Linked DNA regions of Tamandua tetradactyla. The protein of the gene in region 1 interacts with the protein of each later gene in a biochemical or structural test. Links are inferred from orthologs where the notes say so. Each region holds a gene or a part of one and is shown in the gene's direction. Other genes may lie near its edges. The genes, in order: SNW1, peptidyl-prolyl cis-trans isomerase-like 1, RBPJ and VDR.

Evidence for each region.
Region 2: the proteins of SNW1 (region 1) and peptidyl-prolyl cis-trans isomerase-like 1 form a complex in vitro, tested with the Homo sapiens proteins (2 studies listed by IntAct, with this or other methods). The link is inferred for Tamandua tetradactyla from reciprocal best matches to the Homo sapiens genes SNW1 and PPIL1.
Region 3: the proteins of SNW1 (region 1) and RBPJ form a complex in vitro, tested with the Homo sapiens proteins (2 studies listed by BioGRID). The link is inferred for Tamandua tetradactyla from reciprocal best matches to the Homo sapiens genes SNW1 and RBPJ.
Region 4: the proteins of SNW1 (region 1) and VDR form a complex in vitro, tested with the Homo sapiens proteins (2 studies listed by BioGRID, with this or other methods). The link is inferred for Tamandua tetradactyla from reciprocal best matches to the Homo sapiens genes SNW1 and VDR.

What each region holds. Positions count from the first base shown.
Region 1 is NC_135338.1:37,116,515-37,124,202, reverse strand, and holds the start of SNW1 (SNW domain-containing protein 1), read left to right. Parts: upstream 1-4,683; 5' UTR 4,684-4,789; coding exon 4,790-4,803; intron 4,804-5,342; exon of another isoform or gene 5,343-5,440; coding exon of another isoform or gene 5,441-5,448; intron 5,449-7,688. UniProt on the Homo sapiens protein: Involved in pre-mRNA splicing as component of the spliceosome. As a component of the minor spliceosome, involved in the splicing of U12-type introns in pre-mRNAs.
Region 2 is NC_135331.1:93,682,825-93,690,104, reverse strand, and holds the start of peptidyl-prolyl cis-trans isomerase-like 1, read left to right. Parts: upstream 1-4,278; 5' UTR 4,279-4,310; coding exon 4,311-4,366; intron 4,367-7,119; coding exon 7,120-7,274; intron 7,275-7,280. UniProt on the Homo sapiens protein: Involved in pre-mRNA splicing as component of the spliceosome. PPIases accelerate the folding of proteins. Catalyzes the cis-trans isomerization of proline imidic peptide bonds in oligopeptides. Catalyzes prolyl peptide bond isomerization in CDC40/PRP17.
Region 3 is NC_135345.1:26,657,923-26,665,903, forward strand, and holds the start of RBPJ (recombining binding protein suppressor of hairless), read left to right. Parts: upstream 1-4,963; 5' UTR 4,964-5,308; coding exon 5,309-5,688; intron 5,689-7,981. UniProt on the Homo sapiens protein: Transcriptional regulator that plays a central role in Notch signaling, a signaling pathway involved in cell-cell communication that regulates a broad spectrum of cell-fate determinations.
Region 4 is NC_135333.1:107,855,916-107,863,437, reverse strand, and holds the start of VDR (vitamin D3 receptor), read left to right. Parts: upstream 1-4,512; 5' UTR 4,513-4,605; intron 4,606-7,522.

The sequences.
Region 1 (7,688 bases):
GGAACAGAGGCTGAAAGAAATGGAGCCCAGGAGTAAGGGGCCAGCAGGTGCCAGTCACGTGACTTCCCAACTGACAGAGGTGTTTCAGATCCATCAGCCTTCCTGAATTAAGGCATCTTTCCCTTAATTCATGAGTTAGTTTGGACACTTTTATAGACTTAGAGCTGTAATCTTGTAACTTTTTAAATCCCCTTAGTAAAAGCTCTTCCATTTCTGTTATATTCCAATCTGGTACCTTCAAACGAATAATACAGCAAATCTGATTTTTCTTGGCATATAATTCTATGAATTTTAATGCATACAGATTTATGTAACCATCATCACAAACAGGATACAGAGCAGTTCCATCCCACCTAAAAAACTCACTTGTAGTGGTCACACCTCCCCCCTAGCCCTAAATCCCTGGCCACCACTGATCTATTCCCTGTCCCCTTAGTTTTGTATTTTCAAGAATGCCATTTATGGAATCATAGACTACGTAACCTTTGAGACTGGCTTCTTTCACTAAGTATGACACCTTTGAGATTCATCCAAGTTGTTAGATGTATCAATAATTTGTAGAAAGAGAAATGTTTAAACCTCATTGTTCAGAGGTTTAATTTATTTAAAAAAAAATATCGAGAATAAAAGGGGATCCTGGAGATTATCTGGGCCCTCTCTGTCTTTTTCAGAAGAGAAAACTGAAATCCAGTGAGGGTGAGCTTCTTAGTTTCCAGGCTGCTATGACAAATGCCAAACACTGGGTGGGCTTAAACAAGGGAATTTATTGGCCCTCTGTTTTGAGGCTAGAAGAAGTCCAAAATCAAGATATCAGCAAGGCTTGCTCTCTCCCAGAGTCTGTAGCATTCTAGCCTAGGCTGCTGGCAATCCTTGAGGTTCCTTGGTTTGTATCTTTGCCTCCCATCATATAGTGATGTCCTCTCCCTTCTGGCTTCTGTGACTTCCGGGTTCTGTAAATAAGGCCTCCAGTAACATGGATTAAGGCCTATTCTCATTGAGTTGACCTTACCTTAATTTTTTAAAAAAATTAATCTTCCAGAGTTCCTATTTACAATTGGTTCACACCCATAGGAATGCAAATTAAGATAAAAAAATATGTTTGCTGGTGTACATATTTCAACCATCCACAGTATGGCCCTATCCAACTCGGTGCAGGCATAGGTGATAGGGATACAGTGATGAGAATGAGAGGGTTTTCTGGAAAAAGCGGTTTTATTCACAGACCATACAATCCATCCGGTGTATACAATTAATGGCTCTTAGTATAATCATATAGTTGTGCATTAAATACTACAATCCATTTTAGAATATTTTCAGTGCTCTGAAAAGAAAAACACCATAACCCCCATACCCCCTTACTATTGACTCTTAGCATTACTGTGGTAACCTTGTTACAACCAATGAAAGAATATTGTAATATTACTTTTAACCATAGTCCATAGCTTGCAGTAGGTGTATTTTTCCCCATCTGTTTCTGTTTGCTAAAGCTGCCAGAATGCAATGTACCAGAAATGGATTGGCTTTTACAGAAGGGATTTATTAAGTTATAAGCTGAAATTCTAAGTCCATGGAAATGTCCAATTAAGGCATCAACAAGAAGATGGCTTCATTGAAGAAAGGCCAATGGTGTCTGGGTTCCTCTGTCACATGGGAAGGTACATGGTGACATATGCTGGCTTTTCTCTCCTGGATTGGCTTCAAAATGGCTCTCTCATCTCCTGTAAATCCTTCTGGCTTCTGCTGGAGCACTTTCTTTCTCTAAGAATCTGTGAGTCCTCCCTTAACTTCTCTTCTTCTTCTGGGCAAACTCTAGATTTCATCTCTTGACTTAACATCTCCCGAGGTGTTTTTTCTCTCTAAGTGTCTGTTCTTTCTCCAAAATGTTTCCCTCTTAAAGGACTCCAGTAAGTGGATTAAGACCCACCTTGAATGGGCAGGGTCACAGGTCCATAAAAACAACTTAGTCCAAAGGTACCACTCAACAATAGGTCTGCTTCCACAAAATTGGACTAAAGAAGATAGCTTTTCTGGGGTACATAATCATTTCAAACCAACATACCACCCTGTTATTAACACCTTGCAATAATGTTGTACATTTGTCCTAGTTCATGGAAGAACATTCTTATATTTGTACTGTGAACCACCTTCGTCATCTAAACAGTGTCTACTGTGCTATGCAATCCCATGTTTCATTCTCTAGCTTTCCTTCTAGTGACGTACACAACCCTAAGTTCCCCTTTTAACCACAATCACACACACAATTCAGCACTTCAGTTGCATTCGCAATAATGTTCTGCCATCACCTCTATCCATTTCTAATAATTTACTATCAATCTTACTAAAAATTCTGGACAAATTAAGTATCAGCCCCCCATTTACTAGCCTCATTCTATCATCTCCTAATCTATATTCTAGATATTAACTCCATGAGTTTGCTCATTATACTTAGTTCATGTTAATGAGATCATACAATATCTGTCCTTTTGTGTCTGACTTATTTCACTCAACATAATATCCACAAGGTTGCCCCATTTTGTCACATGCGTGAGGACTTCATTTCTTCTTACAGCTTAATAATATTCCACCGGATATATATGCTACATTTTGTTTATCTATTCATCAGTTGATGGGCACTTGGGTTATTTCTATCCTTTGCAATTGTGATTATGCTATTATGAACATTGGTGTGCAAATATCTATTCACATCCTTGCTTTCAGTTCTTCTGAGTATCTATACCTAGTAGCAGGATTGCTGTATCATATGGCAGTTGTACATTTAGGTCCTCAAGGAACTGCCACACTGTCTTCTATAGAACTATTAAACTCACCATTTTAAATTCCCACCAGAAATATGTTCTCAATAGGAATAAATGTTCCTATTCCCCACATCCTCTCCAACACTTGTAGTTTTCTATTTATTTAGCAGGGGCCATTCTAGTAGGTGCGAAATGATATCTAATTGTGGGTTTGTTTTGCATTTCCCTAATAGCTAGTGATGTCAAGCATCTATTTGCTTTTTAACCATTTGTATTTCCTCTTTGGAAATATGTCTATTCAAGACTTTTGCTTATTTTTTAATTGGATGCTTCATCTTTTTATTATTGAATTGTAGGATTTCTTTATATATTCTTGAAATTAAGCCCTTAACAGATATGTGATTTCAAAATATTTTCTCCCATTGAGTAGGCTGCTTTTTCATCTTTTTGACAGTGTCCTTTGAAGCAGTAATCTTCAATTCTGAGAAGGTCCTATTTTTCTATTTTTTCTTTCATTGCTTATGTTTCCAGTGTAAGGTTAAAGAAACCACCAATGAACACAGGGGTAAAGAGGACACTGTCTATACCACACATACTCTGAGACCAAAGGAAGAAAAGTTTATTTTGTCTGGAACCTAAATTTTCTGTGGCTCATAATCTAACTCAACCTATCTGTATAGCTCATTTGAACAATAAAACACAGGGAGCCGAGAAAGAGGGTCTTTAATCCTGTATAGCTTAATGTAATGCCTGGATACATCCTAGAATATATTAAGCAGATAATAAAAAAGTATTGGCAAAGACCTTTGAGGGATGGGAGAAAAAATATGAAACTATTAAACTTTACCATCAGGGAATTCCCTGATACTGTGTCAAACTTTAGGGACACCCAAATCAATAGGCCATGCCCTTGATCTTGAGGCTTACTGTTGTGATGTTTATGTAGGTATCTTAGAGCAGCTAGAAGTAAAAATCTAAAACTGTGGAATTGTAACCCATGCCAAATTCTGAAATCGGTCCTACAGCTAATTATGGTGCCGTGCTTTGAAATTTATTGGTTTGCTTTTTTTCTTTGTATATGTCATTTTTCACAAAAAGAAGAAAAAGTTGATTATGATGATAAAATGTATACATATTCCTTCTGACCTCCAATGTTCTGGAGCAGCTAGAAGGGAAAATCTGAGATGATGATATGGTAGCCCATGACAAATTCTGGGATCTGTCCTGTAATTCTTGTTGAAGAGTGCTTTGAAAGCTATTGCCTTTATCTTTCTTCGCTTTGGAAAAAAAGAAAAAGAAAAAGAAAAACCCTCAAGACTCGTCTTGCTTCATTTATACTCCACCTACTTCCCTTTCCTCAATATTTTGAAGCAGATCTCATTTATTTTATCACTTTCTCAAGGATTATGCTTAACCCATAATTTCCGTGTACCTAAACATATAATTTAGAACACATATGCACATTGTACATACCAGGAGTTTTCTAAAAGTAACTCTTTAAAGGATAACAAAATACTTTCCCAGGAGTGTTTCACGTGAGAACACAATGTAAAAAAAAAAAAAAAGTTTTGAATGTGAACGTTTTCAGAGCGTCCAAGAACTGTTCATTCGCCGGTTTCACGACTTGCCAATATGTGAAGTCCCCGTCACCTTTTTATTTAATGTGAATAACCCCTGAAGGGTTTTGTGTTTAAGACTCTACTAGGGAAATGGGACTGATTTAGGATAAAAATAACAAAGCTGCACTAAAAAGCATCTTCCTCCAACTTTGTTATTTTGCCTAGGGAAGGTATATGTGATACTTATGCACGTGTGATGTATTTATTCTTCTTAATTGAAGCGATTAGCCAATGATAATTACTTAGTCGGGTTAAACGCGAGCATAATTGTACTACTGTTCAACGAACTACAAATCCCAGAAGGCCGTTCGGCTAAGGCGCCTGCGCTTCGCATGCTCCTTCCTTTCCCCGCCTCGTCGCCGGGAAAGGTCCGCCCCTCGGTGCGGTCGGTAGCGCTGGAAGAAGCGGAAGAAGATGGCGCTCACCAGGTGGGTTGTTGATTCGGGTCCTCGATACGGAAGGCTCTGGGAGAACCCACCATTTTCATTTCTCTGACTACTGTCTCCGGGCGGTAATACGGCCCAGGGCACAGAGCGACGTGGGCTGAGGGCATGGGTAGGCCCTCCCGCCGGCCGCCGCGGCCACTAGGCCTCGCTGAAGCTGGGGTCTCCTCTGGGCGCCTTTTCGGGTTGAGTTCTCCCTGTAAGTGGGGCCACAACCACGGTGTGGCGAATAGTTTTCTGCCCTCAGGTGCTGAGGAGTCGCACATGTTTCTCGGTTAAGTATCTTGGGGGATGCGGAGAGCGACTTGGTGGAAGCAGTGGGGATGTGGAGCATAGTGGCTTGCTTCAGCGGAGTGAAGCTGGAGGGAGGTAACTGAGCTGCTTTCCAGCCGTTTGTCTGCCGAGGTTCTCCTTTCTCCGTCCACTCCTGAAGAAAGGGACCGAGAACTGAAAGGAATTTTAAACTAGTCTCAACAGTGACCGCTATCTACTAATATGCTCCGCTGCTTCCCACTTTAACTTTGGACCTTAGAATTTCTTTCCTGGATAGAACACCTTCAGATTTTTGCTGTTGCCGGTTGCCTTGGTAACCGTATGTAAAGTGGTCCTCGCCTTTGAGAAAATGGTGCTGTAAGTGTGGGATTCTAAAAAGTTATATAACTTCTGCTCCTCAGTGACCTTGTTGCCCCATTTAAACTTGAAAAACTTTTCGTGTGAATTCAGCAGGAAAATTTTACTGACGAAGAGGGCTGGAAAAAAAAGTATCATTTTAGTGGCTATTTTCAAACAAGTGTTGATGAAGATGTGGAATACTTGAATTCACATATACTTACTGGCAGGAATGTTTTGGAAAACAAACTAGCAGTTTCTCAAACTGTTAAATTAGAGTTACCGTGTGATCTAGCAGTTCCGCTATAGGTATGTCCCTAAGAGAAAAAAAATTGTCCATGCAAAGATGATTGCACAAATGTTCGTAGTGGCATTGGTAATAGCCCAAAAGTGGAAACAATCCACGTTTAACAACTGGATAGATAAATAAACTGATATAGTTATACAACGGGTTATTGTTTGGCTATCTTTTTAAAAGTAATCATTTTAGGGCATTGGCTTGAGCTCCCTTAACACTTCATTCAACGCATTTTTCCTGGCACAGTTATGAATCCTAAGTTTTAATCAGAAAATTATTTTGAGAATTGCTTTTGGGTACCTTGCTCCCTCCTAAGAGTTGTGTATATGGAGGGAAATCTGAAATCTTTGGCTGCAGGGAAGAGGACGGGCAAAGCATACAAATGTGAAACAATTGAAGAACAGCACAAAACGCTATTCTTAACCATAAGTGCAAAACCATAAGTGCAAAAAGAGTTGGATGGAATGAGCTGTGCGTATTGGAGAGTTTTCTTTAGTAAATGTTAACAGACAGTGAAGTGTCCTCCAGGTGCAAGGTATTGTGATATAGACTAGTAAAGCTATAAAGGAAGATTTTGTGCAACAGACAGAATTTGAAATGGACACAGAAAAAATACCAAAGATGTATTGTGTGCTTAAAATTGCAACAGCACAATACAGTTTTTAAATGGCTAGTCTTTGAGGACTAAGTAATTTTTTATTTTGTTGAGTTAATTCTAGCTGATTTGATTTTTGGAGATGGTCTCAAACATTTACAGGTGAAGTGTTATGTTATCTCCTACATCTACCAGAGATTCTTAACAGCAGGGTCAGTTACATTCTTGGTGTCACTGGTGATTGTTACTAATACTAACTAAAGGTTTAAAGCCTGATGGATTTAATTTTCGAAATTCAAGTGTGTTTAAGGTTAGTTGTCACATGCATTTGATAGTCTTTTGATACTAAGAGGGAAATGGTAGGCTAGAATTTCTCAACAATGGTATTTTTGTCATTTTGGACTGGATGATTATTTTGTGGTGCTGTCGTGTTGTGCATGGTAGGATGTTTAGCAGCATCCTTGGCCTTTAATAGATACCAGTGATACTGCCCCTCAGTCATGATGGTTAAATACTGTGCACATAACCAACAGTCTGTTTTATTTATTCAACAGCCCTGCTATCAGCCCCCTCCTCCAATGGTAGACTGCCTCTTTAAGGAAATGTCATCCTCTACAGGAAATTACAATGTTAAGGCATTCTGGAGACTAGAGTATGTTCTGACCAAAATCCAGGCACTGCTACCTGTTTACTGGATTGTCCAAACCCTTTGCTTCCTGACAGGCTGCCTGCTTTTGGATCATTTAGTGATGACTTCTTCCAGTAAAAAGTAAAGAGAAATGAAACAGAAGTAAATATTTTGGTTTCTTTGTTGCTTTCTTTTTATCCCTCTTATGTGTTGATTGTATATGGTTTACTGAAAACAAAAATGGAAAAAGCCCAAGACTTCAATTCAATTTATGCATTGATTAATTCATTCATTTAATTAGCAAACATTTGTTGAAAGGTCTGCCGTGTGCCAGGCGCTATTCTAGTGCTGGTTTTATAATACTGAATCAGCCAAGCAAACTCCCTCACCTGACAGAGCTTAAATTCTAGGAGAAACAGACTGTATAAGTCAATAATGCAATTTCAGATAATAAATCCTAGGAATAAAATAATGAAAGAAAAGGAATAGGATAGAGAGTGACTCAGGTTTGGGGTGGAGTGATAACTTATTTAAAACAGGGTGGTCAGAAAATGGTTCTAAGGTGTGATGCAGCAGAGACACGAACATAGCCATGAAAAGCTTTGGGAAAGAGTTTTCTATAAGAGCATTACAGGAAAATTTATTTTTAATAATTTGTGGCAGAGAGAATAGTAGATGTTAAGATTTCTTAGTTCAAGAAAGGTGAAAAGGCTAGGGTGGTATAAAGATGGTATGAGTTA
Region 2 (7,280 bases), on another chromosome or scaffold:
TTAAGTGTTACTGACTTTTTATATTCGTTACCTCATGAAACCGCTTCAGTGATCTAAGACAAATAGCCCCACAACATTTATCTACATCATACTGACCAAATACAGTTTATGGAGAAGTTAATTTGTGTAGCATTATGCAGTCTCCTTTTCCCGCCCAGTCTTTAGAGCCAAAGTTATTAACTGCTTTCTTTAATAGAGGTGCAAATAAAGTGCTACTGGGTTCAGGCTATGACGTGCCAGTCATAGAGGCAGTGTGATATTGGTGCAGGAATAGACAAACCAATGGAACAAAGTATGGAGAGGCCAAAAAAGAAATACATATATAGGGATACTTGATTTATGATAAACAGTGAGGTAAGGATAATCTTTTCAATAAATGATGCTGGTTCAACTGTGTATAATACAGAAAAACCTGAATATTTGAATTTGACTCCTACCTCACATTATAATCAAAATAAATTCTCGGGGCATTGCAGATCTATATGAGAAAAGTAAAACAAAGCTTTAGGGTTGCTTTCTCAGTATGGCAGCTGTTGCTACTGCCTGTTGAGCACTTTAAAATGTGACTAGTCAGAATTCTGAAGTGCTGCAAAATAGATTGACACATTAGACCACGTTAAAATTAGAAACTTTTGAACTTCTAGATCATCAGGAGACACAAGTAAGACAATGAAAAGATGTGCCATGAAGTGGTAGAAACCACTTGCATTCAGAATATATAAAGAATTCCATAAATGAGAAAAAGGCAATCAAATAGAAAAATGAGCCGAAGATTTGAACACAAAAAGAGGATATCAAAATAGACTAGCAAATACACATATGAAAAAGTGCTCAACTTCATTAATATAGGTTGTTAGGGAAATAATTACTGAGATATCACTACACAACCTCCAGAATTTTTTGTATAAAAAAAGACTGACAATACTAAGTGTTGGTGAGAATGTAGAACAATAATAGCAATTCTCACACACTATTGGTGGGAATGTAAATTGTTTCAGTCACTTTGGTAAACAGTCTGGTGTTTACTAAGTTATAACACACACAATCTATGATCCAACAATTATACTTCTAGCTATATACCTGTTGTAGTTTGCTAGCTGCCAGAATGCAACACACCAGAGACGGATTGGCTTTTAATAAAAGGGGATTTATTTTGTTAGTTCTTCAGAGGAAAGGCAGCTAACTTTCCACTGAGGTTCTTTCTTACGTGGAAGACACAGAATGGTCTCTGCTGGTCTTCTCTCCAGGCCCCTGGGTTCCAACAACTTTCCCCGGGGTGACTTCTTTCTGCATCTCCAAAGGCCTGGGCTGAGCTGTGAATACTGAGATGTGAAATGCCCGAGCTGCTTAGGCTGTGCTACCTTGCGCTCTCTCATTTAAGCACCAGCTGATTAAGTCAAACGTCACTCACTGCAGCAGACACGCCTCCTAGTCGACTTTAAATGTAATTAGCAACAGATGAGGTTCAGGTACCATTGGCTTATGTCCGCAGCAACAAAACTAGGTATGCTCACCTGGCCAAGTTGACAACTGAATCTAACTAACACAATACCCAATAAAAATTCATAGACAAGTGTACAAATATATATACATGAAGCATTATTTGTAATAGCAAGAGCATGGGTCATCAGGTCAGGGCCTATTGTAAAGGTCATACACTATAAGCTCTTACAGCAGTCACATATATTCAGGAGGTGTAACTGCTATTTCTAAATTCTGAGATACTGAGCTGTTTGTATATAACCTGGCCGTTTGCAGAAACTTCAGGTATTTATGTGACACCTGAGATTCAAAGTTAGAACTCTGAAGCTATGAAAGTCAGTATTACCCCATACAGAAACTGTTTAAAAGTTGAAAAAGTGATCAGACTTCAACTAGAGATATGAATGAAAGAAACTGAACTGGAAAGGACTAAAGTAAATCAGAATACAGGGTAAAGGATGATATGGTCCATATTTTAAAACTTCAACTTCTGTGTGAGACCAAAGGCAGAAATGTTTATTTGGTGCAAAATTTATATTTTGAGTAGTGCATTACCTAATTTAACTTGTATGGTCAGTTTAGTTGAACACCATAAGTACATGGAATCTTGAATAGGGCATGAGATCTTGTTGGTTTGTACAGGTTAGTGTGATACACCGATACATTCCAGAGTGATTTGGGCAGAAAAAGAAAAGTATTTCCAAAGTCCCCTTGGGGGACTGGAAAGAAAGGAGAAAATATTCAACTTCCTCATTTGGGGAATTCCTGATATTCTTGCAAGCAGTGGGAACAAGTAAATCAACAGGCTGAGCCCTTGATCTTGGGGTTTGCCCCTATGAAACTTATTCTTGCAAAGGAGAAGCTAAGCTCACTTGTAATTATGCCTAAGAGTCACCCCCAGAGAAACTCTTTTGTTTCTCAGATGTGGCTTCTCTAAGCTAAGTCAGCATGTGAATTCATTGCCCTCCACGCTACATGACTCCCAGGGGTGTAAATCTCCCTTGTAATGTGGGACAGAACTCCCAAGATGAGCCAGGACCTGGCATCAAGGGATTGAGAAAACCTTCTTGACGAAAAGGGAGAAGAGTGAAACGAGACAAAATAAAGTTTCAGTGGCTGAGAGATTTCAGAGTCAAGAGGTTAACCTGGAGGTTATTCTTATGCATTATATAAGATATCCCTTTTTAGTTTAAGGTATATTGAAGTGCCTGGAGGGAAGTACCTGAAACTGTTGAGCTGTGTTCTAGAAGCCTTATTTCTTGAAGATGATTATATAGCAACATAACTTTTACAATGTGACCGTGTGATTGGGAAACCATGTGTCCCTGATGCTCCTTTTATCCAGGGTATGGACAGATGAGTAAAAAAATAAGGATAAAAAATAAATACATAGTAGGGGATATTGTGGGGCACCCCGAAAGAGAGACCCCAAGTTCCAAAACTGCAAGTCAATTTGGAGTCTTTATTAGCCAGTCAATTTGGAGTCTTTATTAGCCAGCCGGCGACTGCCTCAGAAATCCCAAGAAGGAAGAGTCAGAGAGCAGCACCGTGGGGCTTGCAGGGTGGGCTTATAAAGGCTGAAACCACAAGCTTATTCACAGAAGCAGAGAGATGGCATTAGTTTCACAGATCCACATCCTGGTTTTGCAGCTGAAAGCAAGCAAGCTTATCTACAGAAGCAAAAAGTGCTATTAGCTTTTGCAAAAAAACATGTTTGTGTGATTCCCACATCCTGGCCCCATTACTAGATGTTGTTCATGGGCAGGAGGCGAGCTCCTGATGCCTTACAGCGGGGCGGAATAAAGGGTAAACAATTGGGTAGATTCAAACACTGGCAGTCACTGAGAGGGTGGAGTAAGGGGTATGGGATGCATGAGGTTTTCTTTTTTTTCCTTTTTTTTTTTCTGGAGTGATGCAAATGTTCTAAAAATTATCATGGTGATGAATACACAACTATGTGATGATACTGTGAGCCACTGATTGTACACCATGTACGGAATGTATGTGAATATTTTTCAATAAATTTTTTTTTTTTAAAGGACTTACAATAGTTTACCCCATTTCTCTTTGGTCCTCCCTCCAAATTTCTCACGCTGCTTCTCTGGCCCTGAGTTAACCCTCGTGACAACTCTGGAGCATCATCTATTCCAGCAAAGCCTTGCTCTTGCCCTGATCCCTTTGACCTGCATTTTCTTTCCTGATCTACCCCCTTCCTTCTCCCCTCACTCTTAGCCTTTGGAGTCTCACGGCTCAGTTTGCTGTATGACCTTGGACAAATAAATCCTTTAACTGCTGAGTCTCAGTTTTCACATCCGAAAAAAAGGAAATAATAAGCTCTACATGACTGCTCTGCGGAGATAAGAAAATGTAATCTCACCGTAAACTACAGCGTCTTAGGCATTTCTCATCTCCTACCCTTTCATTCTCCTCCTCTTCCGATCTCTGCCCTAAAGCGGAGCTAGAAAATTATCCAAATTGAATGTTAGGACATAACTCCCAGTCAGAGTGCAGCGTTGCTGCTTGTTTCCGTCTCTTTTGCCTCCCTGAACCAATCATTTCGTCCAGAGTGTGGCGGGGTACTGCCTCGACACCTCCTCTAATGGAGTTTGCATTTTCCTCTGTTTTTGCGCTCCAACCAGTTTTCACCTTGCACCGTAGCTTCACCGCCTGTGGCAGAAGGGCCCTTTTTCTTCCTTGTCTCAACCCCCCAACCCCTGGAATCGAAAGGGCTGAGCTGCAGGACCGGAAGTGTGCGCTGCGGCAGCGGGTCCCCAGTTAATCAACGCCGGAAATAGCGATTGCTAAGGAAGGATTCCTCCGGCTTCGCCATGGCGGCGATTCCTCCCGACTCTTGGCAGCCGCCCAGCGTCTACTTGGAGACCAGGTGAGGGAAATCGGGCTTCTGGGGCTGGGCTGGCGGAGGCGACGCGGAGCCCACACTTCGCCGGGGCACTCGATACCTGGCGCGCTCCCCGGGAAGCAGGCCTCCACGTGGAAGAATTGAACAAGGACTAGCTCCTGGACCGCAGCGACAGCTTCCTCCACTCCTTTCATTCATTCATTCTGTAAACAAGCATGTATTTGACCAGGCACGTAGGATAAAACATACACAGCCCTTAGGAGCTCATAGTATGATGAAAAGACAGATAGGTAGCAAGTACGGCAATTGTAGAAACAAGATACTGTCAGAACACAGGCAGAAGCACATTTTCCTGACTCTCAGAAACGTGTTATAATATAATTAAGCACCGACCAGCTGGTGCAATGCCCCGATGTATGCGATTACAGTTTAACCCTTCTAGAAACCGAAATGATGTAGGTAATATTACAGCTCCCTCCAATTTAAGCAGGAGGAAATGCCGAAATTTACAAATTAAATCGTTTGACCAAAGCCACACAGCTGTTGAGTAGGGGAACCTCGTTTAGAGCGTGGCCTGTCTGCCTCACATCCTACTTTCTTTAGCCCCATTCATTCCATTGCCTCTTTGGAAAAAGTTTGAAGTGATCTTTCCAAAGTAAGGTCAGAGATCCTGCTCAAAAATCTTAAGTGACTTCTTGCTGCTGCAGTATAAGACTAGACATTTTAATCTGGTAATCATCTGGTTTTTGGCGTACCGGCTACAACTTCTGCTACTCTCAAGTCAGCAGCCAGGGTCCAGCCCTTTCTGTCTGTCTGTCTGCCTTCCGTTGGTCTTTGCCCACACTGCTTTCACCAGAGCACAGAATTCTCAGACCCCGTTTCCTCGTGCTGCTCTTGCTCCCTGGTCCACTTCTGTTCCACCTTATATGCCAACATTCCACTTCTCCAGGCCCCAACTTGAAAGTAATTTCTGAACTTTTGTTAGTTAACATTTTTTAAATTACAAAATAAATAAAAATTTAATTTGAAGCAGTGAAGATATGTATAGAGTAAGAAATGAAAGCCAGCCCTCCCTGTGTAAATGCTATTAATAGTTTGTTGGATGATCTTCCAGATCTTTTTCTATGTATTCTTAACAAATAACTCTTGTTTTTTTAACAAAAAATGGGATCATATTACCATACTGTATATATATGTGTGTGTGTGTGTGTGTTTTTCCTGTGATTTGCTTTTCTTTCATTTCCTTCCGGTATATGGATGTTTTGTATTTTAGTCATTTTCAACTTGAAGAGCATTCCAAATGATACTGGAGTACTGGAATTAACATCCTTGTACATACTGTAACCTTAGGCATTTTTGTTAGTTTTTCCATAGCAACCTCATCTTAGAAGTCAAAAGGTTTGTACCTTTCAAAATTGTGTTGTTGCTTCTCAATTACATTTCAAAAGTTTATTCCTGTATTTAAAAACTATCCACAGAATGTAAATTCCTTGAGGGCAAAAACATCCAGAATAGTGCCTTGCACAGAGTAACTATTAATCCCTGTTGAATGTTACTAGTGTGAAGGATGGCTTGCAGGCAGAAAGACTGTTAGAAAGCTGTCTTCTGGCACACTCCACATACATTTATAGCGTGATTACAAAATGCAAAGCCTCATCATAGGCCAGGCTATGCAGTTGACTCACTTCCCACATTCTTAGATGAGTAATAGGGTAGAGGGAAAGGCTTCTGTCCTAACCCTTTTACCTCTTTCCTATTCTTAGCAGTACTGAAAACAAAAACAAAACACTCTTTTGTCTTTGTTGGGGCTTCTCCCGAACACCTGCAAATTGTACCTTTTTTCCTGTTAAAATTTTTTTTAATAAGTTATGCATTTTCATGGTTCAAAATACCTGAATTTATAAAAGGCATCTATTGAATAATCTTCCTGTCATCCTTATCGCTGAACTACCAATTCCCACTCCTACCTAGAAACTAATGCATGTATAAATATGCACTTCCAGTGTGTATTTTTAAAATTTTTATAAATTCAACTTGAATTCAGTTGCATAAAATTCAGTTGTGTAAATCACATTCACGGTGTTCTACAATTATCACCATTGTCTATTACCCAAACTTTTTCTTCACTTCAAATAGAAACTTTGTAACCATTAAGTAATAACTCCCTTTTCTCTCCCACCGCCCACCCCTGGTAACCTATAATTTACTCTCTGCCTCTAGAAATTTGCTTCTTCTAGGTATTCCATATAAGCAAGATTACACAACATTCATCTTTTTGTGTCTGGCTTTTCTCAGTCAGAGAGGATGCCTTCTTGGTTCATCCATGTTGACACATGTGTCAGAACTTCATTCCTTTTTATGGCTGAAAAGTATTTGAATGTTCTCCCCTTTTAAAAAATTCACATATTGCGTGTAAGATTTCTATGTCCTAATTTAGAAGTTGGTTATTTTGGTTCCAGATGACTGGTGATTTACTTTTATTTGTAAGGTATTCGAATTTTGAGTTGTCCTCTGTTGTTATTTTGCTTAAAAGAAAGTCCAGAAAGCCCTTCACGTTTTACTTAAAGGAAATATGTATGTTCATGTTACTTGCAATGGGCTGCTTTCCTTTGCTGAGCATGAAATCTGGTGCTTATCACAGTTTTAGGACTCATAAGTTTGAAAATCTTGTAGTAGTCCCATAATATTCCTGTCTGCTATGACGTTGCTCTTCTTTTTTTTTTTTTTTCCTATGACCTTGCTCTTGACTGGTGTGATGTTGTCTTCTCCGCCTGCAGCATGGGGATCATTGTGCTGGAGCTGTACTGGAAGCACGCTCCAAAGACCTGTAAGAACTTTGCTGAGTTGGCTCGTAGAGGTTACTACAATGGCACGAAATTCCACAGAATCATCAAAGATTTCATGATCCAGGGAGGCGACCCAACAGGGACAGGTACAG
Region 3 (7,981 bases), on another chromosome or scaffold:
TACTCTAAGCATGCTGTATGAATGGCCGGGGAGAATACTATTACTAATATAGTACTAAGACAGCAGTTTCTGGTTCTTAATTGTACTGAGATGGTACACTACATATATAAACTCTATTAGAAAATAATTCTACTAGGAAATGGCAGAGAAGAATCCATTTTATTCGGTCATTTTTTTTCTTGCATGTTTATTCCTTTTCTTAACATTTTGTATTTTGAGTAGGCAATAATACTTGCACGTGGTACAAAAGTCAAAGGATTCAAGATAGCAGACAGTGAGATAAGCCAACCCCTCCCCTCTGTTCGCCAACCATCAAGTCCCTTACTAGAATGCAGTTAACGTTATAGTTTCTATTGTATCCTCCCAGAGTCATTTTAGATACATATAGGTAAGTAAGTATATATTTATCTAACACTGTTTTGCACTTGGCTTTTTGAATTTACTGTATCTTTGTGAACCTTCCATGTAAGTACATAAATGGCAGCCTCTGCTTATTAACAGATGTATACTATTCCATTTTATAAATACAGCATGATCTTTTAAAATAAGACATCTCTTAATGGATATTTAGGCTTAATGGAATGTATTTACCAGTACGTTCTACCATAAATGGTGCTGTAATAGATAGGTAATTTTACATATGTGAGTATAGTCATAAGATAAATTTATAGGAATTGAATTGTAAGACTAACAGGTAGGGATAAAGTTTGCCAAAAAGCTTTCCATAAATATCAAACACATTTTTACTCCTACTAGTAACCAGAGATTCTAAAATGGAGAATAAAGGAACCCCTTAAAGTAAGTGTGACTTCATTTACTGGTCTAACCCAGGAGTAAGAACTTTTAATTTTTACCTAAAGTCAAGACAGGAGGTTGATCTGTAGACTTTCCCCTTCTTTCCATGTAGGCTTGCACTAGGTTACACAGTACTGGTATAACTTCAATGCTGCTTTGAAACCTAAAAGGCTTACTGAGTCTTCAAAATCATTTTTGTTCTCCTCTAAAGAGGACACCCCACTCATTCTAAAAATATGGGGTACCTGCCTACCATGAACCAAGCATTGTTCCAGGGGCTGAGGCTTGAACAGTGAATAAAATAGACAAGAATCCTAAGTGAGCCTTAAGGTGCCAGAGGGAAGAACATGCCAGGCAGCAGAATGAGCAAGGTCTGGAGTTGACAGTGTGCTGTGTATCCCAGGAGCAAGGAAGCAGCTGGTTAGTGCTGAACGAGTAAGGTGGAGAGTAAGAGATGTGAGGTCAAAGAGGTTTCTGCTGCAGGGCAGACTGTGAAGGGACGCTCAGTGAAATGGGAAAAGCACTGGAGAATTGTGAACCCAGGGTCACAGTAGTTTTGCATGCTCTACTGAGAACAGAATGAGGGGAAGCGAGATAAGAAGAAGGGTTATCAGTTAGGAGACTTCCTACAAGATAGGGTAGAAATGAGATAACTTAGACTGGGTGAGTAGAAACTGACATGAAATTGGCTTTTGGATGTATTTTGAAGTCGGCATGATTTTCTCTCAGGTTGGATGTTGAATGTGAGAGAAAAAGGAGGCAAGAACAGCTTCAAGTTTTTTGGTTTAAGTTAGTGGAAGGATGGATTTGTCATTTACTGAGATGGAGAGAAGATCACAGGCAGAGCAGTTTCAGGGCAGGGTTTTAGTGTGAAGATGAGGCGTTATGATTATACTTGTGGTTATGCCTTTTCAAGGTTGCTGGGACTTTCAGGTCATAGTTCCAAATTCGATCAGTGACCTGGACTAGACCACAAGTGAAATGTCTTTTCGGGAGGAAGGCTCCCAGGAATATGTGTCCAGGCCATGGTCCTCCTTTTGAGCTAAACTGTTCCAAACCAGGATGGCTTTGAGATTAAATGCTATTTTTCTATGCGGAATACATAATGAAAGGGTTAGGTACACACATACACACTAACACCTTTGAAAACAACAGAAACTTGATTTTACTGTCCACTACAAAACCATCAGAACATGAGCTCCTATTAGAAGGCTCAGCGTCCTTCAGGAATCAAAATTCAATTCTACATTTGCGGATCTATGGGGTGCTCTCAGCAAGGAAGCAATGTTAGAAAAGGTTGGTATAGAAACCATATCCGGGGCAATCTAAAATGTGCCTGACTGAAGAATGTAACTAGGAACTCACTGTACAAAATAAAAACCCAAAAGGAAAGGGATACAGTTAAAACAGTGGTCACTAAAGCACCCCACAAAACAATACCTAAAATGGAATGAATACTCAAAGAAAATATGGAAAGGGGAAGGGAAGCAAAACCAAAATTATGATTCACATTAACTGAGGGAAAGAAAAAAGAACAGAAACTGGTACGAAAGGATTACTTCAAAAGGTTAAAAAGATTAGGGGCGGAAGACGGATTTTCAAAAATCGTGTCCTTGAACGGGAAGCAAAAACTAGCCAACAATTTGAGAGCGCAGAGACCGGCATTTTTTTTTTTCCTACCCAACTCATCAGGCCAGCGCGTACAACTGAAAGGAAAAAACAATTGCTAAAGGAAGAGTAGCTAAGGGAATCCGAACTTGCTTTAAAGCAAGCGAAGTGGTAACCAGACTAGGTGACTCAGGCATGACTCAACCCTGACACTGGGGCTGTCTGTCAGCTTCTGGAGGTGGGGAGCAGCGGCGTCTTACACATTTTAGGAAAGTACCAGGCTCGTGAAGGGCGACACTAAATGTCCCCGGGAGTTAGGTCTGGGGCTCCTCCTGCCTTAGAGTCTGACTTCTTACCCCTTTCACGCCGGGAGCGGTTTCTAGTCTCCCAAGTTCCCCTACTTTCCTACGGACCACTTCTTCCACGAAGAGTCACGAACGCGAGTGTGTGCGAGACGTCCAGCCTCCTCCCTGCGCATCCCGCCACGCGCCCACCGGTCCCGCCTCCGCGGAGTGCCGCTCCCTTTCCACCCCGCCTGCCGCCAGGACACGAGCTGCACGAACAGCGCCCAGAGCTGCACGAGACAAACACCTGTACTGCCTGGGCTCCGCGAGACTTGGGGCCGAGGTATAGGCAACAGCGGGCACGTTCTCGCGAGGTTTAGCGAATTTCCCACGGCCCGTGTTGTGTCTGAGGCGAGTAGTGGAAGGCGGTGGGAAGGAGGTGCAGCGTGAGACTAGGCTGCCCGCATTGGGCACATGCGCAGTGTGGCTCGCGCGTGCCGCGCCAATCCTGCAGCGCCTTCAAGCAGGTTTCGAGCGTATTCCAGTTCTCCGGGTTTTGGGGCTCCCTGTGGGAGGCAGTACAGGATCTGGGAATCTCTAGGAAAGGAAAGGCGGAGTAGAGCGGGAGAGTGGGGGGACCCCCAGGTGCGGGGGAGGGGTGAAGTTCGGGCCCTGCACTTTTCAATTAAATGCTAGGACCGTCCAAAATTGCTCCCGGCTTTCAGACCTTAGGGCTCTCGATGTACGTGGCGGGCAGCTGGCAGCATCCTTGGCTGTGCCAGGCCCATGGAAGGGCCGGTTCCCTGGGCAGAGTTGGCCCTATATTCACCTGGCTCACTCATGGTGGCTGGTGCGTTGGGCCCCTAGAGAGGCTCACGCGGCAGGCAGGTCACTGCACCGAGTGGCAGGGAATGAGCTTTGCGGCCTCTGGCCAGGGCCGTGGTCGGGGGTGGGTGGGGAGGGGCTGTGGTGATAGTGGCTTTCAATTCCAACTCAGTTTACACTACGGAGAAAACTGCTCGGCGCTCTAGCGTGTGTATGTAAGGTGGACATTCTAGATGACTTTGCAAGAGGCCTTGGCCTGACCTCACTTCGCACCCAAGGAGTAGAAGTCTAAGGCGACAGAGTTCAACCACAAAAGTTTTCCGTTTACAGAGCACTGGAGGGGCGGATCACGTTGTAATTATGTTCGGCCCTCCATTAGCAATGGGGATCAAAAGAATAAAGATAGTTCCTTGGTCTGTCACTTGCCCTAACCCCAGGCATATTTGTAGTTCCAGCACCTTATACTGAGGCGTCCAATGAACGTTTGAATGAATGAAAAGGGCTGGGAACCCAGAGTGAGCGGGAAGCCACTTGGAAAACACCCATTTGAGGAGGTGTTTCATCTAGGCCTGTGAAACGCGGCAGATTTTCCCAGGACCCCTCCTCCCTATCCCTCGGCCCCGCCTTCTGACCCCTCCATTCCCCGTCCCTGTTGTAATCCCCTCCAGTTTTCCTCAGTCTCCACGTACGTCCCTCAGGGCACGTCTCAAAACCCGGATAACTGGAGCGCTCCCCATGGACCACACGGAGGGCTCGCCCGCGGAGGAGCCGCCTGCGCATGCTCCATTGCTTGGGTAGGTTTCCAGGGAAGGCAGCAAGCTGGATCCCCTACTCCGCGGGCGGCGCGAGGCGTCTGGCTTTCGCGGCGGCTGCGAAGGGAAAAGGAACTAGGGGGCTGGGTGGAATCGAGGAGCGAGGAAAAAGGGAAGGGGCGGGGGAGAGGGACTAGAGAAGGCTTCGGGGGAATCTCGCGAGGGTTGGAGTTTTGGCGAGAGTTTGTGGAAGATGGCGCCTGTTGTGACAGGGTAAGTCGGGGGAATCCGAGCGCTGCGAACGGGGAAAGTTGCGGGCGTCTCACAGCCCACGGCGGGCGGCGGGTTCGGGTGCCAGGGCGCGCTCGGCGTCGGGGGATCGCAGGAGCGGCGGCGTGTGCACGGAGCCCTGTGGCTGTGCGCTGTCCGCGGTGTGCCGCGGTGGCTCGGGCTCCGGCGCGTGAGGGCGGGCGGCGGCGGCGGCGGCGGCGACGGCGAGGCCGGCGGGTGTGGGCGTGAGTGCGGCGGGGCGCGCGGGGCCCGCGGGCGCTGTGCCTGCCGCTCGCCTCCCGCGCCGCTGCAGCCGTCCGTGGACCCTGCCTCCCAGCTCCGTGCAGCTTTGTTCCTCGCGGCGGTGGTCGCCTCGTTGCCTGGCCGGTGCCCCTGGCCCCGGGCGCTTTGTCTTTCTCCTCTGCTCCTCGCGACCCTCTACCCCCGGCCCTTTGTTTCGCCGTCTTGGGCGCTTTGTCTGACCCGTAGCGCCCCGCATCCCTTTTCCGTCTCTTCTCCTCCGCTCCCTTGCTCCTTTGTTTTGCCCCAGTCTACCCGGCAGTCCAGTGACCTACCACAGTTTAGACACCAGGTTTCTGACTTTTAATTTTTCTTGAATTGTATTTCTCATGTGTTTCCCCTCTTTCATTTCTGCTTGATCTTTCGTCGCCCCCAGAGGCTTTTGTCTCCCCGACCCAGTGGTTTATTTCCTCGCACTCCCCCCGTCACCATCCCGCTCCCATCATCGGTTGATTTATCCACTACCCACGGTGTATGTCTGCTGAACTGTCTCAGCGCGGAGGACTCCATCTGGTGCTTCTAAGGGCAGACCCTGCGGGGTGTTGTTTTAGTGGGTCTGAAAGATGCATGGTGATACTTAGTTTCCTCCCCGGCTCCACTCCTCCCTCCGCATCCCTTTCTCTCGGGATTACAATGTCTTCAGTTTTCTTTGCGGTTTCTGGGCCCGTAGTTGTTTTGCTTGCTAACAGTAGCCCTGGAAAAGAGTCTGTGATGGTTCTTGCCCACCTGCCCCGCCGCTCTCGCCCTCCCCTCGGTTCCGGACGGCCTAGGCCAAGGGCAGCAGTCTGTAGCTTTGCATCTGGGTTACCTGAGGATGGGCGAAAGGTATTTAAGACGTTCAAAGGAGACGCAAGGTATTTTTTTCTGTTGGTGTTTGAGAATAGTTTCGGATACCATGTTAGATACTCATTTGATGTGTAAGTAGGAGTTGCGTGAATTTTGTTGTTAAAAACTTGTGAGTGTTGGGATGGAGAATTTCAGTATTTTCTAGAATGTATATCTAGAGTCTGGTTAACTTTTGTTTTATAAAAAGGAAGGAAGACATTCTGCTTGGGAATTGATTTGATATAAATGTTTTGTTTTTTTCTTAAGCACCAGATAGGCACAGTTATGTGGATTTTGCTCTGTATATTTATGAAAACCCTTCTGTTCCTTTATTCGGGTTGAAATGAGGAGAGCACTTAAGAGTGCAGTTTCTGGTTGATGAATACTGTTTCTAGGATCTTTCTGAACTATATTAATAAAATGCAATTAAAAGTTATATAAGTAATAGTCTTAAGGAAGATTGTCTTAAAGTTAGTTACGTGCATTTCCTAATATGTTAAAGGAACATTACGTGGTTCCAAATTCTCATTGTTACGTTAGTGTTAAAATCTTGGTGGTGGTGTATTTTAATGGCTTGAATTATTCTAGTGCTCAGAATATGAGATATTAGACTTACCAGGATAACTAGAATGAATATATTCAGGGTTTTAAAAATTACTATTTTTCTCCTATTGGCCACTATTTTTAGAAGATATGTTACTTAAAGAATCATTTTGTCATGTCATTTCATTTGTAAACTGATGTTCCTCATAAGATGCTGAGAGAATTTACAAGATCTAGTCTGAGGAATATTGGTGGACTGAAAAACTTTTTTTTTTTTTTGGCTGATGATTGTGGTTAAAATTAGTAATTTAAATTTTAATTAATGGAAATCATAGTTTCGTGATTTATACTGGGAGGTGTATGAAAATTTGCAGTTTAGTTTCCATGAGTGGATTTTACCAATAACCATTTGCTTCCCTTGTTCTTAGTGCATAATCATCCTTTGGAAGTAAAATTGTTGAGCACACTGTTGGTTCTGAATGGAAGATATTTTATTCTGACTTGTACACACACACACACACACACACACACACACACACACAAGGGCAACTTTTACATTTTGCATTTTATTTCTAAATCATGTACTTTTTCGTGACATAAGGCCTTTATTTTGTGACTAAAAATAAAACAGTATCTTTACTAAATTAAATTATATCCAGCAGCATATATAGAAATATACAGTATGAGTTGTAGCAGGAGAACTTTCATTCTGAATATAGACTATAAAATCTTTAAATTTGTCATCCAAGTGTATTGCAGATAGGTCTATGGAAAATTTATTTTCAGGAAAAAATGTGGAGACACATTTGCAGTAATTTAGGATTGATTCTAAATATGCTTCTAGGCATTAAATTTCATGCATTAGGTTTGCTGAAAGGCTGCCTTTTACTCTATACCAACAGATTTCTATCGATATCTTTTAAGTGGCTAGAATATAAAAAAATGGTTTAGATAAAAAGCTTCTCTTGCCACATGTAATTCATTAAATACTTTTTGGGAGACTAGATTGGTAAGGCATTAGAAAAAAGGATTTTGGTAGTTCTTTCATATCTTCTTAATTCTGGTATGTGGTAATTTTTAAATTAAAACTTCGGGTTTGGATTTAAAGCATTATTTTGCATTTTGCTTCCTCCTAATACTAAATTTCAGCTAGGGGCAGTTTTTTCTCATGGATTGACTTAAAGTTGTTATTTTTGGCATCTGGCTTTGTGATTATTTCCAAGTTACTATACTTCCCCTCAGCCAGTTTCCTAACTGTGTAGTAAAATGGGAATTGTAATACTTGCCCTATCTGTACAGGATTGCTGTGCATTAAGATTTGCAGAGAATATCCTTGGATATAAGGGATGGTTGGGGTCTAGGAATTGTTGCTGAATAAGTAGGTCATGTTTTATAGGAAATCAAATGAGAGGTTATGAACTCTACTCGGTTCTTGGCAAGTTACAGTGGTGATGGTAGGATGAAAAAAATCCGAATGTGTATTATAGTTTGGGTAATAAAGCAGATACTTTTTATTCTTATAAACTTGAGGGAGAGGGACATGTGAAACAAATGATAGGGTGGTATTTTGTGTGTGTGTTTGTGTGTGTGTGTAAAAGATTGAAGATCTGTCAAACCTAAATGTAATAACACATTGTAACTTATGAGATGACTTTCTTCTTGACTTCTTTCAAAATAAAATAGTAGCATAAAATGTTTTCACAGACTCTAGGCCAATTATTAACAGTAATGACAATTTTAACAATACTTTTTTTTTTTTAATGCTTTGTCATTTACTCT
Region 4 (7,522 bases), on another chromosome or scaffold:
CCTGTGGTTCTCTCAAAGCCTTTCTTAGAATCTCATGTTCCAGGTACTAAATGAAGGGATCCCACGGAGCTTGCTCACATTATTCAGGAAGATGAGATTCAATCAAAACCAGGGCAGTTAACAGTTGGGGAAAAAAAAAACAACCACAACACAAAAACCTGGGCAGTGCCCTCGGTCCATTGGTCACACAAACAATCTAGTCAGCCTAGCTTATAACCCAGGGCAGAATTTTTCAAGCTAAAGCTCACAACCCATTAATGGTGGATCCCATAAAAAAAGAAAGAAATGGTTGAATCCATCCATTTGGTGGATCTCATAAGAAAGAGAAAAAGAGAGGGAGGGAGGGAGGAAGGAAGGAAGAAATGGTAGAGAAAATAGTAGAAAATATTGAAAGCATTGTAGGATATCTGTATTTCATAAGGCTTTTATCTAATTTATATATGTGCATGGGTTTACTAGGTCATGATAAAAACTTATTTCCTACTTTGTGTTGCAGTTAAAACTTTGAAAATCACTGTCCTGAGAAGACCCTTTTTGTTTGGTTTGCTTTCATTGCTAATAGCTTCTTCCATTTATTTATTCCATTTTCACCGTCTAGAACACAAACAGGATCCAGTCCTGGATCTTTTTTGTCCTGATATCGATTAGAAAAGATAAATGAGCTAGCCTTTCTGGACTTAATTTTTTCAACTCTAAAGCAAGAGAACTGATTGAAATGGATGGGCTGGACCCTTCTGTTTCTATGACTTCATGATTCCATGTTTCTCAGAATGTTCTCTAGATACTTACCGGGTAAGAGGCTTCCCTTTATTCCTATCATACCTGTACCATAAAATATTTAAGGGGGAAAGGGCTTTAAAAAAAGGAAAAACAGGTGGGAGTGCTCCAGAGAGAACTCAAAGGACATACTTTTACCTGGAGAGAATCCTCTGGATCGCTTATCCTTCTGTCCTTAGAGACAAGGTCTCTGGGAACCTCTGTAGGGACAAGGTCACCACTTCAGCTCTGGCACCATGGCAGGAGGTCCAGAGAGTGCCAGCCAGACTAGGGGACAGTGGCCAGCCTTAAGGAAAGGGGAGTCCATCAGTTGAGGATAGGATGAAGCTCTGTGGCCTGACTACAGGCCTGCTCAGGCCACCTATAGGCACATAAAAACTGGCCTCAGATCCTGTGGAATGGCATGCACATGGGGTGGCCTCAGCTTGGCATTTCTGGAATCATTCCTCCCAGCTAGGAATCTCCTGGTTGGGCTCCTTTGTTTCTACACAGACTGTTGAGTTTATAACACTATAGTGTGGTGTCTTTCCCATAGCACTTAATATATATTAATTTATCAGAGATGAGTACTGACAAAAACACAATCTGAGAATCCCATAAAGACAACCATCCTCCCTTCCAGAGACAAGCAAGAGTTCTAGAAATATTAACTTCAAGGACAAGAAAGAGATAATTAGTGTTTTCTGCAGAGGTTCTGATGCATACCTCATACAGCAATCAAGCTAAAGTTTAAAGATAATGATTCTGTAGTACAGGAATGCTGAGTGTCATCAAAGGCTTTGAGAGAACAGGGTGTAAAACAGCAGCCTCCCTTCCTAGAACTTGGCTAGGGAGAAGCAGGGTCAGGAGGCAATTAGTGATTACAACAGAACACCACAGAAGCGAATCTGATGTAATCTTGCTTTTCTATTTTTGCAAAATGACATTCCTAAGATGAAAACTGAGGTGAAAATCCATCTTTGTTCAATATGAATGCAAGATGGTTCATTGCCAGGTGACAAGCCATGCAAAACAGACAATACAAAGACCAGAGAATTGACAGGTCTTTTTGGCCTGGAGATGGCTGGAAAGGCCTAATGGTATAGACAAGACCTGAAGGAGGATAGAGTCTCGGGAGACAGATGACAGAGCAACTCAGATATTGGGTGAAGATAAGAAAAACATGATCAGGGATATGTTGATGGGGCTGATGATGGAATGTTCTAGATCTCTGATAACATCTATAATTTTGCAAAGCTGCCAAACTCAAAACCTCTGAGTTCCCAAAGGCTGAGTTTTCTAGACTGTGGTCCAAAAGATAGAAAGTCCACGTGTCTCTGTCACTCCCTAGCTGTAAGAACATCAACAACTCTGCACAACAGTTAATTGTACAAAGACGAGAGTATTTTCTACTCTGCTTAACAGAAAAGGTTGTACTGAAGATCAAATGAGATAATCCAAATAATTCTTTTGATACTGTCAAATTTTACATGTTAGGTATTCTTAGTAGACTACAACCAAGAACTGTGAAGAAAGAGTGTCTTAGTTTCCTTCGCTGCTCAAGCAAATACCATGCAACAGTTTAGCTTAAACAATGGGAATTTATAAGCTTATGGTTTTGAGGCTAGGTGAAGTCCAAATCAAGGCATCATCAAGGTGATGCTTCCTTCCTGAAGTATGGCATTCTGGGGCTGGCTGCCAGTGATCCTTGGTCTTTGGCTCCTCTGTCACATGATGGCAATCTCCTGGCCTCTCCCTTCTCTTCTGGGTTCCATTGACCTTCAGCTTCTTGTTTCCCAAGGCTTCCTCTCTGTCTAAATTTCATTCTGCTTATGAAGGACTCTAGTAATAGGGTTAAGACTCGTGCTGAGGTGGAGCACACCTTAACTGAAGCAACCTCATCAGAAGGTCTTACTTACAATAGATGCACACTTACAGAATGGATTAAGTTTAAGAACATGTTTTTCTGAGGTACATAGCTCCAAATCACCTCAGAGACTAATAGTCAGTTACTATTTTATACTAGTAACTCATGTCTTGCCATGTTTTGTTAAGTTTATTTTCTAGATGACATTCACCTCTGTCTCTGGCACCACAAAAGTGACTTCTGAGTGATTAACCCCTTCTAGAGGTTCACAGACTTCCTGAGAATGTCCCAAAGTGGTGATTATTAGAGATACCCTCTTTCCATGGGAGTCATTGCTAGAGTTTCCATGATGCTTTGAGTTGAGAACATTCTTTTCCTTTCATTACAACCAGAGAATTCCAGACCCATCAGATCAGCCGAGCCTCCAAAGGGCATTTCATCTCTTCTGTTTCTCAGCATGCATTGTCCATTCCCAAGTTCAGTGAAAGGATGGGTGTCGCTTCCATTTTTTTTAAGTTTCCATGACACCCCCTTAACGAACTGTTTCAGTGCATAGCAAACTTCAGTTTCAAGGTTCTTCCTTCTGTTTACCCTCAGTTCATTTATCTTGATCCAATTATTGAGATTTGGAGAGGGGTTGGTATCAAATAGTATGGCATAATTGGTTCAGAAATGGTTCAGAAGCCACTATGCCAGCAGACTTGCTCGACTCCAGTGCTAGCCCTGTATTGTACAGTTGTGTGACCTTGGGCAAATCACTTAACCTCTCTGTGCTTCAGTTTCCCACCTGTTTGGCTTGTCCCTCTGAGCCATGGCTTCTTCCTTTATAAAAGGTGAATAGCAATGCCTTCCCTGCCTAAAAGAGTTCACCAACTGCTAGATGATTTTGTGGGCATCTCTATTGCAGCACATTATGTAGTAATTATGTTGTAATTACTATTTATTTATGAATTTCCCCACTGGATAGTGAGCTCTAAAACAGAGGGAACCATGTCTTTTTCATCTCCTCCACTGTCCAGCACAGTGCTACCTAATCCATAGTTAGGGAAGCAGCATAGAGTAAACAGTGAGGCCCCAAATTGTTCTTTTTCTTTTCTTTTTTAGCCCAAATCTATGTCAGCTTTTTCATAGTCATCCCCGATTCCAGGTCTTAGTATGTATTTTTCACTTCCTCCCTCCCTTTTACACCAATGTCATGCCGGGGAAGGGGGAACTGGGGATCAGGGCCCCAGAAGCTGACACTAAACCAGCTAGGACGAGATTCGCGAAGAACCTGTAACCTAGCCATTTGTGGTCTCTGCCTAGGGGACATAGAGTAAGAGCGATGATGCAAATCTAGGCTCCACTCCGGCCCCGTTTATTTATTTATTTATTTTAATCATAGCGCGTGGGTTCGGGCTCAGCTCCCTGGCACTCGGCAAAAGTAATACGACGGCGAATGGCGCCCCGAATTTTCCACGAGAGCGGAGAGAGCCGTTGGTGCCCGTCGGCAGGCGCCCCCCAGCGCCCGACGGACGACGGAAAAGTCCTGGCGGTGTCAGCCCAGGTGAGGGTGACGCACCTGAAGAGGCGTCGGTGGAAGGCTGGGCAGAACCACGGCACCTGGGGTGGGGAGTAAAACATCACAGAATTTCGAAGGCAGGAGCGTAGATCTGCACACTTACAGTCATCGAAAACTCCCATGTACAAGAGGTGAAAGCATGCCTTGCTTTAGGGACAGCAGTCGTGAAAGGCTACTTGGGGCAGAGTCTCCAAGGTGACAGTGCAGTGGTTGATTCCAAGTCAAGATGGTTGCAGCGCGAATGGAGTGCCTGGCAAGAGAGGACTGGACGTGTGGGCGGGGCCAAGGCATAGGGCGGACCTAAGGGCGGGGCCTGTGAGAGGGGCGGGGACAGGTGCTGGGTTGTCTCTGCTTGTCAAAAGGCAGCAGCCGATCCCCAGGCGCTGGGAGCGCGGACCAGCGTGTCTACCCGCGGAACCAGGTGCGGACCCCGGAGCAGCCGGGAAGGGGGTCCCAGCATAGAGATCAGGCTTGGGGTGCGGGGCGGTTGGTACCGGGGCTGAATAGCCGGGTGCAAGCACTAGAGTCTAAGTCACAGGGGCAAACTTGGAGACCGAGAGCCGGGCTGCCATGAGGTTGGGGCACTGAGGAGGCACTGGGCTCTCAGAGAGACCACCTGGGTGCTCGGTTAGCTTAATGCAGAAAAGCTCCGCTAGCACAGTGTTCAGCACTTGGGCAACAAGAAACATTTGTTTCCTTCCTCTGTCCGGGTGCCTTGGCACAGAGTGAAGGAGTAAGAAGGGGAACGATTGGCTGTGGATGGCGCTAAATCTTTTGGGGGTGGAGTGTGTAGCCTTATTTATTATCTTGTGGGGCCCACGTGTGGTCACCTGTGCTGGTGAAGTTGGGTCTTTTAAGTAAGGTGTGTTTCCTGCCTTTTTTTTTTTTTTTTAACTCCAATGCTTTTAGACCTATTTAGCCTTTGAGTACTGCATTAATTTCCTCAAGAGACCCTGACCATGGGTGAGGCATAGGCACTCAGGGGCAAGCGTCTAGGTGAGGAGGGGGCTCAGAGAGTAGTTTCTGTCTGAAGGAGGTGAGGGGCCAGGCGTCTGTGGGGGGCGGGTGAAGAGGCTTCAGGGAAGTATATGCCAGGAAGCAGTGTGTAGTCTCCAGTGGGCAGTGGACAGCAGCCCCGGTCCCCCTTTTTGCCCCCCATGGACTGCTGAAGCTGAGACCCAGGCTGCCTGGGCTGGGGATCCCAGGGTCACTGCTCCCAGGCCCTTCCCGCACAACCTCCTCCTCTTTCTCCTCCTCTTCTTCCTCCTCCTCCGTGCGGTGAGTGAGTCAGCCTCCTGTCTGGGCTCAGTTGCAGCCAGAGGGGCCAGAGCCCAGGCAAGCAGTTGGGCAGGCATTTTCTGAGCATTGCAGAAGCTCTCCTGGGCAGAGTTCAGCTCTGCTCCAGCTCCCTGCTGGAAGGCTGTCTCCTTGTGGCTAGTGGTGGCTGCTTCCGCAGGGGGCAGGCGTTCAGACACCCAACACAGCAATAGTTATGGGATGTTCTGATTCCAGAAGGAGTTGATTGAGAAGGGATTGTGGTTTTGTGGTAAATCCATGTCTCTTATCCTTCTCCTAGTATCGTGAGGTCTACCTCAGTCTTCTGCAAACTTTTCCATCCTCCTCATACCATTTCTGTCTAGTGATCTCATTAGTTGCCCTTGTCTGCTGGTGAAGTGGGGGTGCAGAGGAAATTGGAAGATTCCGGGACCAGGGAAGGCATTGTGTTGTCAAAGAAGTCTTTAACCCAAACTAGGGAGTTGGGATGGTTTGACGAGGTGGAGATGGGTTATCTGGACTCTGGAGCCTCAACTCTGTGGACCAAGAGTGTTGAGTGACAGAGAAACTTCCCTCATCCCCCTGCACCCCATCCAAGTGCTAGAAGAGATTGTGGATCTTTTTGGAATAGTGTTGAAACTGGCATGTGGCCAGACTGGGAAGTAGTAAGAATGTAAACTTCTTTCTGGCTTTTGTTTTGGATGCTGTTAAGATCCTTGAGCAGAAATAGAAGGCCCAGTGTCCTTTGATTCTACTCAAGAGCCTCTCTGGACCCAAGTCAGAAGAATCCATGGCAGCCAACTAGGCTGTGGAGCTGACTCAAACTGCAAACAGCTGGGGAATTCACAGTCTGTGCTCCGGCTGGGTCCACAGCTTAGGGTTTGGCTGGTCCCTGATCAGCCATGACTTGGATCCTGACCAAGCTAAAGGAGAGACTGAAGAGTAGGGTCAGAAGGAGGAAAGGAAGATCCTCACTCCTCTTCAGCCAAGCCTATCACTTGGTCCCAATATTGTGGAAGGTCCAGGTTATGTTGTGGTGCTCAGGTAATTTGTGTTTATGGTTTCTCTGTCTTCTTCCCCTATATGACCTCAGAACTGATCTCCTTTTGGGACTAAGCCCCAGAGGAAGCTCTAAGAGGACCTCTTTAATTCTTTCTCTACCCCTCCTCCCAATAACAAACAGCCAGTGTCCAAAGCCAAAGTCCTAAGCCAGTGTCTTTCATGTGGAGGGATTGACTTGAACCTAGTGTTATCCCAGTCAGGAGGAGGAGTGGAGTTCCTGTTGTTTGCTTCCTTACGCAGGTAGGGATCAGCCTTGCAGAGATCTGCCACTGAAATCTCTGCTAGAAATCTGCTGCTGTATAATACTCAACAGTGGCGATCTAGAGATAGAAGTGCTGAAGTCAGGAGGACCTGGAAGTCTGAGCTAGTATGACATTCCAATTTGTTCTCCTCACTAATGAACAAGGAGAGTTATAGGGCTCCAACTTTCCATTTGTCACTGTTGCTATTCTCTTTCGGATGCAAGTAGAAGGAAGTAAGGAAATGACTATATTTGCTTAAGTGCTTTCTGAGTACCCAGCATGGTGCTTGGCCCTCAGATGGATGGCAGGAAGCAGAACCCACTGCTTTTGCCCCCAAGAGATCTTAGCTCCAGGATGGGCAGCAGCCCTCCCACCACTTCTGTCTGGTTCTGAGAGGCTCCACCTGGGGTGAAGCCAGCCTGGGTGTTGCTCTCGACCACAAAGACTGTGCTTCTAGTTATGTTCCTCCCTGATTTTCCCCTAACCTCTCCAATCTCAGTGCCCTCCGGGGTGGAATAGAGAGTGACTATATAATTTATCATCCAAACTGGGACACATTTTAGAATGAAAAGGTGTGCTATTAACAGTTATACCAGGACAATAGGCATAAACTGAAAGTGTCCAGGGCAAACTAGAATTTTGAACCCCAGTGACAGAGGTCCCTAGTGAACACCTCTGCAGAGGCTACAGGGGTGAGGGGAAGATAGGGGTACTTAATTCAGAGGGCAGCCCCTATACCTCAGCCTACTCCCTGGTGTT